Drosophila melanogaster: one gene and its partners. The protein of the gene in region 3 interacts with the protein of the main gene of each other region in a pairwise test. Each region holds a gene or a part of one and is shown on either strand. Other genes may lie near its edges.

The links.
Region 1: the proteins of Vkor (region 3) and Vti1a interact in a two-hybrid assay, tested with the Drosophila melanogaster proteins (one large-scale study listed by BioGRID).
Region 2: the proteins of Vkor (region 3) and CG16852 interact in a two-hybrid assay, tested with the Drosophila melanogaster proteins (one large-scale study listed by BioGRID).

What each region holds. Positions count from the first base shown.
Region 1 is NT_037436.4:690,920-694,522, forward strand, and holds Vti1a (vesicle transport through interaction with t-SNAREs 1a), read right to left. Parts: upstream 2,001-3,603; 5' UTR 1,860-2,000; coding exon 1,766-1,859; intron 1,702-1,765; coding exon 1,103-1,701; 3' UTR 567-1,102; downstream 1-566. Other genes in the region: RabX6, read left to right, coding at 30-491; CG13894 (uncharacterized protein), read right to left, coding at 2,364-3,603.
Region 2 is NT_033779.5:13,539,239-13,542,212, reverse strand, and holds CG16852 (uncharacterized protein), read right to left. Parts: upstream 1,463-2,974; 5' UTR 1,414-1,462; coding exon 1,149-1,413; intron 1,088-1,148; coding exon 639-1,087; 3' UTR 567-638; downstream 1-566. Other genes in the region: CG9263 (uncharacterized protein), read left to right, coding at 1-33, 222-538.
Region 3 is NT_033778.4:16,776,801-16,779,560, reverse strand, and holds Vkor (Vitamin-K epoxide reductase), read right to left. Parts: upstream 1,197-2,760; coding exon 1,027-1,196; intron 972-1,026; coding exon 877-971; intron 822-876; coding exon 628-821; 3' UTR 567-627; downstream 1-566.

The sequences.
Region 1 (3,603 bases), on a different chromosome or scaffold from region 3:
ACTTATGTATATACCGTCTTCTTTGACAGCTCCAACTCTGGGACACCGGTGGCATGGAGCGTGTGGCCTCGGTCACATCCTCGTACTACAAGTTCGCCGAGGGAGCCATCCTGGTCTTTGCTTTGGACAACGCCGCTTCGTTCCACTCGCTGTCGCAGCACTTGCTGGACATTGTGACCTATGCAGAGAATGCCAAGATCTTCATCTGTGGCAATAAGAGCGATCTGGATGGCAGGGAGCCGGAGGTCAGCGATGAGGAAGTGGAGGCCTTCTGCGAGCAGTGCCACTCACTGATCAGTGCCACGTACAAGACCTCCTGTCGCAGCGGCGCCGGTGTGGAGGAGATGTTCCGTGACATCTCTAGGCAACTGGTCCACGCCAATCGCTCCAAAATGGAACTGCAGGCACTGGAGCACAAGAGCTTCCAGGTGGACACTGCGAGCAGCGGCGCGGCGACCAACGAGGAGGACGCCTCCTCCTGCGGCTGCTAGCAGTTGGGGAACATTGAGTTCGGCTAGGAACCCTTATTCCCGCCAGGCTCAATGCTCACGCAGAGATGCATTTTTACTGTTTCCTTTATTTATTGATAGCTTTCGGCTATGTTATGATTTTTAGATACGTACATGTTCAATTCGAATTTTTACGAAAAATACGTCCCGAACGCGAACACGAGTCATAGAGTAGGATTAGTTTCTATTAACCAGGCGCCAAACATTAACCACTTAAACTTTGTACACGTAAGCTAGGATGGCGGATACGCGAGTGATAGGTTAGAAATCTGCGGTAAGAATTAAAAAGTAATAGGAATTCCATCGATTAACAAGAAGGTCAATTTAATCTTAAAGGTAAAAGGACAACAAAATATATAGACATCGATTGACCGCAGATAACTACTCTAAGCTTCGACTCTTATTGCACGTAATACTCCATCCTATCTTATATAGATTAGTGCGTAATCTGCAGCTTTCTTCCACAGAATATCTCGTAAAAATAAAATATACTAAACAATAAATAATCAACTCACGAAATTGGAATGGACAGGCTTCTATAACATTTGAATTTGGGCTAAGATCATTGGCTATTGGTTTGCTAGCTAAAATTACTACGACGAGGCGGTGCTGCTTGAACTGGGTGCGAAGGTCAGATAGAGACTGACGCCCACGGCCACCACAAAGCAGACACCCACTCCATACAAGACCACCTTCTCCCGCAGGGCTCTTAACATCATGGTATTCAGAGTGCGAGAAGCTCTTCCCAGCTCGGCATTGGTTTCTCGAAGTCGAGCCCTGGCTCCCTGTAGAGTTTCCCTTTGGTGGTGCAGATCATTTAGGACCTGGGCGCCCAGTTGCTCCGTCTCCAAGGCCACTCTGTACCCTTCGGTTAACCTGTTGCCCGTCCGTTCAATCCTTTCCGAGTTGTCCAAGAGGCGTTGGCGTTGATCTGTACTTATGGACACATCCTCATAGCTGTCACCCAAGTCCAGAGTGGTGAATGTGTTGGCTTGGGAGCGCTGTTTGTCCTTGGTCAACCTGTACTCCGCCTGCAGCCGTTTCAGTTCTGCCTGGGCCACCTGCAGCTTTCCGTTGAAGCTGCTCCGCAGTCCAGGATTTAGCTCCCTCACCTCCAGACCCATCTGCTCCAGCAATTCCTGAGCCTCGGGCAAACTGGAGTCGATCTTGCTGCACAAATCATGGCGCTCGCCTGGAGTAAATGGACAAATGGTAATCACCATAATGTACAATCCATGGACAATCATCCCACTCACTGTTGTTGTTTTGCTGCTGCAGCCGTCCAATATGGGCCGTTATTTCTGCTATTAACGTGGCGTATTGCTGTTCGTATTGCTCCAGAAGCGACATTTGTGCGGTTTTTATTCTACCTTATTCAGTTGTTTATGGTATTTGTTCTGTTTTAGTTCGCGAAAATTACAGATTTATCGAAGAAAAGAAGTAAACATTGTCCAAGTGTGGCCGAGTCATGAGGTGAACAGTAATACAGCAATCTATAAATACTTTTAAGTCGTGGTCACTCTGATTTCGAGTCAGCGTTGCCATACTCATGTAAAAAACACTGCCAACTTCAAGGACTACAATATTCTCGTAAGAACTCAGATAAAACCAACTTCCGTTTTAAATACGTAAATAAAACACAAACATATCTATTATTTTATAAATTCCATTTTATTGTACTTAGAGTAATTAATAAATTAATTAATTAGGTTCAGCTTTATGCGAGTGGAGATTCTTTGTTAACCTAAGCAACTGTTTTGGCGGTAGTACGATTTAATAATACTACATGATACATATGTACACTGTTCATCACATTTATGTTTTGTGCTGTCCTGGTCCGCGATTAGAAAACTCTTAACCCTCGACCAGTGTGGCCTTGTCCCCTTTTCGGAGCACCAGTTCCAATTGGGACAGCAAGCCAATAGCCCGAAAGTTCTCCTTGAAGAGCACGAAGTCCTCCAGCGGTTTTAGGTACTCCAAGGCCTGGTGGTAGCTTTCCAACTCCTTCAGCATGCATAAAGCCTTCTTATCCTCGGGGTCTGGGGATGTGTGTCCATTGGTTTGGCTGCCGGAGGAGCTGGATCCATTGGGGATCTTTTTTGGCGAGGCGGGAGCAGAGGCGGGTTTGGTGGACGCAGCTCGAGCTGGTGCAGGTGAGTCCTTTCCCTTGGAAGAAAGGGCAGGCGTGGATTTGCCACTTGTTCCGCCTCCCTTGGGGGCGTTCTCCTTGCTGCTGGCACTGTCTCTTCCCCCGCTATTATTGTTGTTCTGCTCGTTGGGACTGGAACTTCGACTGTGCTTGCTGGTTAAGGTTGATTCTGCTAGCGGATATGGTGGTGAGTTCACCGCTGAGTTAATCTCTTGCACTTCGTCATCATCGGGTGACTCCATTTTGGGTCTCTTGGCCAACTGAACGGGCTGGAAGGGACTGGCCCGCTGCGGTGGAACATTTGGCGGCAATTGGGGCTGAAAGGGTTCCCTTTGAGGTGGCATAGTGGGTGGAAACTGTTGCATCTGCTGCTGCTGCTGGAGTTGCTGTTGCATTTGCTGTTGATGCCGCTCGAAATAAAAGTCGTTGAAGCTGGCGAACCCGGGGTGTGGAGTAGGATGTCCGGGATGTCCTGGAAACGGTGGCCATGGGTGGCCCATTTGATGCTGCTGCTGTTGCATATGTTGCTGCTGGAGGGCAAAGTGCTGCTGTTGCTGCTGCTGTTGCTCTTGATAGCTCTGCTCCTTTACATCCATACTGTCATCATCTTCTTCGTATTCTCCGTACTGTTGCATGTAGGTCATGTACTGCTCGGGCATCTCCTCCAGTTTGGCCACTCTTTCAGCGCTCGCGGGCGGAAAGAGATGGGCTAGGTCCTGTACGATGTCCGGGATCCACAGGGAGGATCCTAGTGGCTTCAACTGGTTGCTGGCTAGTTTTTGGGCAAAGCCTTGAAGATGAGTCTCTCGGAAACGGTTTAACCAGCGATTGTCTGCTATAAAGGATGTGCTCCCTATGACTTGTCTGGCATTCTCCGCCTTGTCCTTGATCATTCCGTGGGTAATGCTACCTCGCAGCTGGGGATTGATATTGGCCCTTACTAGC
Region 2 (2,974 bases), on a different chromosome or scaffold from region 3:
GGTACGGATGGATGTCCAAGGCATTGGCGGAAGGTAAAAAATATCAAAATAATGCATAAACCAATCTATAAAAAAAAGATAGGAACTGTCTCTTGGAGTTGTCCTTGAAAACTCTGAAAAATAACACTACTGTCATAAATCCATAAACAGTTTCATTTTGGTGAAACCAGATGTCACCCGCATTTATTTAGTATAGTTACTATAACTGTATCAACCCGCAGAAAATTCGGAAGACGATGTTGAGATCTTCAGGAAGAAGGATAGCGATGTGCTCAAGGACATCCACTCGATCGGCGTGCAGACGGAACAGCCGCGCCGGCGCATTAGAGTTTGTCCTGTGGACTTTGCCCCGGCTTTGGCACCCTGCGAATCGACACGTCACACGATATTCATCGATGCCGTTTCCATGCAGATTCCAAATGCACTAGGTCGACCACCGCTGGCCGATCGTTTTTGCTATATGCTAACCGATTTCGCTTCGGCACTATATTGTAGTCTCGCCATCATGTGTTGTTGCACACCCAATATGTTGAGATAAATTAGAATGCGCAATGCTGGTTGGAACTCTGTTCTGCTAATTCTGTTTACTGCATTTTTACTCATACAATCACGTGCAAAACGAATCATTCTTATTACAATTATTTGGACGGCATGCCGACATTGGTCTGCAAGTTGCCATAAAAGTGGCTTAGTAAGAGGTAAAGGCACCACAGGCACAGGACAATGAAGAGTGCCACTGTTAAATTCTCGCCGATTATAGAGGCGAATGCGACAATCGTATCCGCCGTCTGCACAAGGACCTGCCACATCCTTTGGTGCAGTGGGGGTCTTTGCATAGCCGTGGCCGATGTCACCGACTCCACCTCGATGTGGATCGTGTGCTGCTGGATCTTGCTGGGCTTGTCCGTTTCGAGATCGATACCACCGCCGCGTACAGCCGCCAGCTTCGCCTCCAAATCCTTGCTATTCATATTACTCTCGTCCGCTGCTGTCCACGAAGTCTGACTACTCACCTCGCAGGTGGGCTTGATTGTGACATCCGATAGCCGCGAAAGACTCGATGATCTATGCTCCACGATTTGATCTTCTGTTAAGATATCAAAGGCTGTTAGCCCTTCAATAAGAACGGAATTATACATTTATCTTACCTTGCTTAATAGCTAACTCTTCGGATCGGAATCGCTTCATGCGGCTTGTTTGTCCATATTCACTCTTTGGGAGCTTGATGTATTCCTCAAACAAATTGCACTTGCTGATCTGCCTGTGGGTTAGTTGGTCCCTTGGAATCTGAACATCTTTGTGCTCAGCATTCCAGCCAATAGATGGCGCTCTGATGCTATCATCCACTCTTTTTTCTGCTTGTGCAGTTATAGAGATATCGTCTCCAGAAGTGTCACTTTTTGAACTAAGCATGTAGAGTTCTTCTAGTCGCTCCTTGCCTTTGTGATTCAATATGTTTTTCGTGTGAAAATCATGAGTGTGAGTTAAATTTATTTTCTACCATTTCTGTCATTTAAAATCAGTCTGGCTAAAAATTCGTAGCAAAGGGTTGCTTTATCATCTGCCTCAAACGACCATGGCAGACCGGCAATTGAGCCTCGTTGGCCAGTGGATAATTTTTGCGCTAAATTAAGCAATTTCCTTTCCTGTCTGGCCGGGCAAAACCAGAAGCTGCTGTCCATCGACACTTCAGGGTCGACTGTCGTCTATGGATTTTCCTGTCTAATATGACAATTATGACGGTCTACTGCACTAATGTTATTTTGCATAAGTGCATTTTAGGAACCAAAGCAAAATATAGGGTAGCTCCTTAACTGAGATTTCACTTGCCTGGTGAATTTACTTTCAAAAGACTTTCAAAAAAAGAACCGTCTAAATATGTAATTATTTTAATAATTATTGGAAGTTGCAAGGTCAAAAACATTTACCCCGAAATTTAAGATCAAACAACTACTTTAATATACCAACACAATAAATAAAATAAGATAAAAACTTTTGCTTCAGGCCACACATAAACTGCCATTTTATTATCTGATATATTTTTTTGTGCACATTCGCTTTAGATCAAAATTCATCCCCCAGATTTAAACCACAATTTCCGTTCAATGGCAAAAAGCTGTCTCCGTATATTTCATAATTTGTTCGAGGGAAACTTTTCGATGAAACTCTATTAAAGCAGAGGGGACATAATAAATTCATGGAATATCTCGACTTGTCCGGGTGCTACGTACATACATGTGGCATGTGGCAAGCAAGTACGCACATTTGCAGTGTGGAAATCAAAATCCAAGGGGCTTGGATGTGGAACTTTTCTCGTTGCTGTCCTATAGTAGAGTAAGTCCTTTGGTGTCCAGTGCGCACCTGCTACTCAGTGGTCGTGTTTTTTATTCGTTGGCTTGTTGAGGGAACAGAGGTGGAAGGAATGGTTCTTTTGGTCCGGCCATTGTTATCATTTAAAAGGCTTAAGTGCGCCGAAGATTTATATTTATATATATTTGAAAGAAGGGGAATGAAACGACAGCAGACGCTGCGACGAGAAAATAAGATAAACGTACACGTTATTGATTTTCCACTCGCATGTGCCGGCCAGTGTGTTTGCCTTTGGATGATGCTGTTGCCATGGACTGCATCTCCCTGCTTTGCCGCTGCTTCCGCTTTTCCCCCTTTGTGGCGCAGTTTTGTCGCCTGTCCAAAAAATTGAATTCAGGGCGCGGGAAGATGGGGGGCATGGTGTTTACGTGGGCTGTGTGGACTGTGGGTGCTACGGAGTGGGCTTAACTGGGCAGCCAACGCCTGCGCTTGATTCATCTGCCAGTTGATTGGTGTTTGTGCGAAAGTGTTGAAGCAGAACAACTGGGATTGAGTGGCCACCATCCTTTATCCGCCAGCTCGCAGCTCCCAATTCGCCCCTTCGGCGGCATGATGTTAAGCTTTATTTGTGTTGCCTACTTTGAGGCGGCACCGAGGGGCACGC
Region 3 (2,760 bases):
CAAGATCGATCATCTGTGCGAGTTGTTAAGATGCAAATTCAAGATATGTGAGGTGGCTAAAACGAAGATTCTATGAAGTTAAGATTCAGATAGCTAAATATCATCAGTATTATCTCAAACTATTTTCATCATAGATACTTAAATCTGCAAGGGTATGCGATACAGCATCCACACAGTATACATTTCCACACATCCATTGATTCAGTTATTCAGCCCAACCAAATCGGAACAGCAGCCCACACAAAGGGATTCCCGAACTTATGGGAAATTAATTGCGTCGAGTTTTCACAGTCCGCCCACCGTATTAACTTGGCTAGCTCGACTTAACTTTTGTTGGCAGTAGCGCCATTCGCGGATTATGGATCACAGATCACAGCCTTCGCCGGCAAATGGGAACGTGCAGAATTAATTGCCCCACTACGTGCTTGGTCATGGGAGTTGGAATGGTAGATGCGCCGGCTCAGCATCCTGCTTTTAGCCAAACGTGTGGGTCACAAAATGAACGACTGATGAAGATTGAGATATTCGCCATAAAACGTTGACAGTTTAAAATAACTCACTGAGCTACTAATCTTAGGGATTTATCTTCATAATTTTTGCTTAGCTTGTCTTAACATTGTACAAATCTTACATATAAAGGCGTCTATATCGCCTTAGGACTTCCTGAAAGAGCCATGTGTGTATGAAATAGATGGTCACGCATACCAAACAGAAATCGTAAAACACGAGAATCAGCAGGAAACCCAGATAAACGCAGAGAAGTAATGTCAAAGTGCATACTATCAATTGGACCAGGCACAGCCAACGATGATTAAAGAAAGCTGAAAACAAATGCTTATTAAATTTAGTTTAGTTTGTACTAAGAAATTTACGTACAGCTCAAGAAGTACAGGATATAAAATGCACAGCCGATGGCTCCGTTGGGAGCATTTACTTGGGTTATGTTACCCAGACCAAAGCCATCACCATAGCTGATGGAAAATTATTTCATTAAATTTATATTGTATATATTATAATCTTACCTACCCCGATTTAAAAACCAGCGAGCAGCTTATATTATCGTTAACGTCGCACATTGGCCTATAGTTCTCATCCTCCTTTAGTTTCATTTTCACATACAGTGAATACACCGAAATGGCCAATCCACAAACGCAAATCCCACGCAGTCGGGAAGCTGTACTGTACGCCTGTTCCATTGTGTTGCTCCTTGGGTAATGAGCTCATTGCAGCAGGATATTCCAGCTCAGATTTAGTTAGCCAAGGAATAACACTGTTCGCAGCTGCGCAATAAGGTTGGCAACAGGATACACTTACTGTGGGTATCTTAGTTTTATAATATACCTTATACAGAATACAAATCTATACTTGCTTTATAAATAATGTATTTTTCAATGGGTCCCTGAAAAATGCGACTGAGGTTCTGTTAGGGTTTTTGTTAGGGTATTTAAAGTCTAGACTTGCTCTAATAAATCCGCCTTGTTTTCTCAGTTGGGCTCGCATAAATTCTCGCTCCAATTTAATTTGATGTGACAGGTGGGCAAAGGCAACAGGTAATATTTATAAGCAAACAGAACAACTCGGGGTTGGTGACCAAATCGAGCTATATAAGTGGGTTTTACCGGAGAAGGTGAAACTCCTTAGTCTGGGAACTATCACCTCTAAACCGACAAACGTGCACATGCATCTGCCGCAAACAACATCGCATTAGGCCACGCTCCATTGCATGCATATGAAACTAGCGACTGCGACAACATCATCCAAGTCGAAGACGACCAAGAGACATCTCTGCCCGGCCAAATCAGACTAGACGAGTGCTCATGTAGAGCCGCTAGTCGCGGCATGACACAATGTTGAATACAACTCACAACAGCGGCCCCATCTTTGGGGCCCACCCACTCGCTCGTTCCGTGTCCCTTTTTAATTTATAGCCTCACGAATTTGAATTATTCTATGTTCGGGTGTTTAATAAAAAATAAATACCCAAAAGTAGCTGGGCCCATCCAAAAGTGATATATAAATGCACGTTAGCCATGAGGTAACCGAATGGAAACAATTTACAAAATTGCAGTAGCTCAGCCCCCAGGAGTGAAGTGAAGTGATGAATTCACGCAACCTTGGCTTCGCTACTTTGCCATATAAAAAAAATGAAAACAGTCACCGCAGCCAGCGACTTGGCACAGATATCCATTTGATATGGAAAACCCTTTCAAGCGGCTGTCAATTCGATTCTGGCTCAAAACCCGGGCTCAGCTGCTCGATTGCGTTATAATGTGCTACTGGAAATGGGCCAATACAAACGAAACCACAATATCTATATATAACTACTCTTAATCTTTATTATCGTAGCGACCTTCAAACAAAAACAGTGCAGAATAAGAATAATTTGAGGTAGATAATCATTTATGCACAAGATGGGCAAACACAAACAATGCAGTTGTAAAGAGTTCTGATTTTGTTTTCAACTTCCTGATGAAAAAATCTCGAATGAGTTTAGAATGGTAATCCAAACTTTTAACTAGGGCTACACATGGCTAATGCCATGTTGCAGGTGCATCTCCTCAAGCACGCGTTGTGTTATTTGTCTCCAACGAGGTTTGCCATTGATACGTGATCGAAATCTGGTGAAGTGCCTTTAACAAAAGGCGCCTTGGATGCCCAAAAGCAACTGACTGCGAAATGATGAGTCTAGACAATTATGAATACGATTATTAAGGTGAATGCATCGAAACTTGGCTTTTGTAGTTGGCAGTGCTGGTGGTG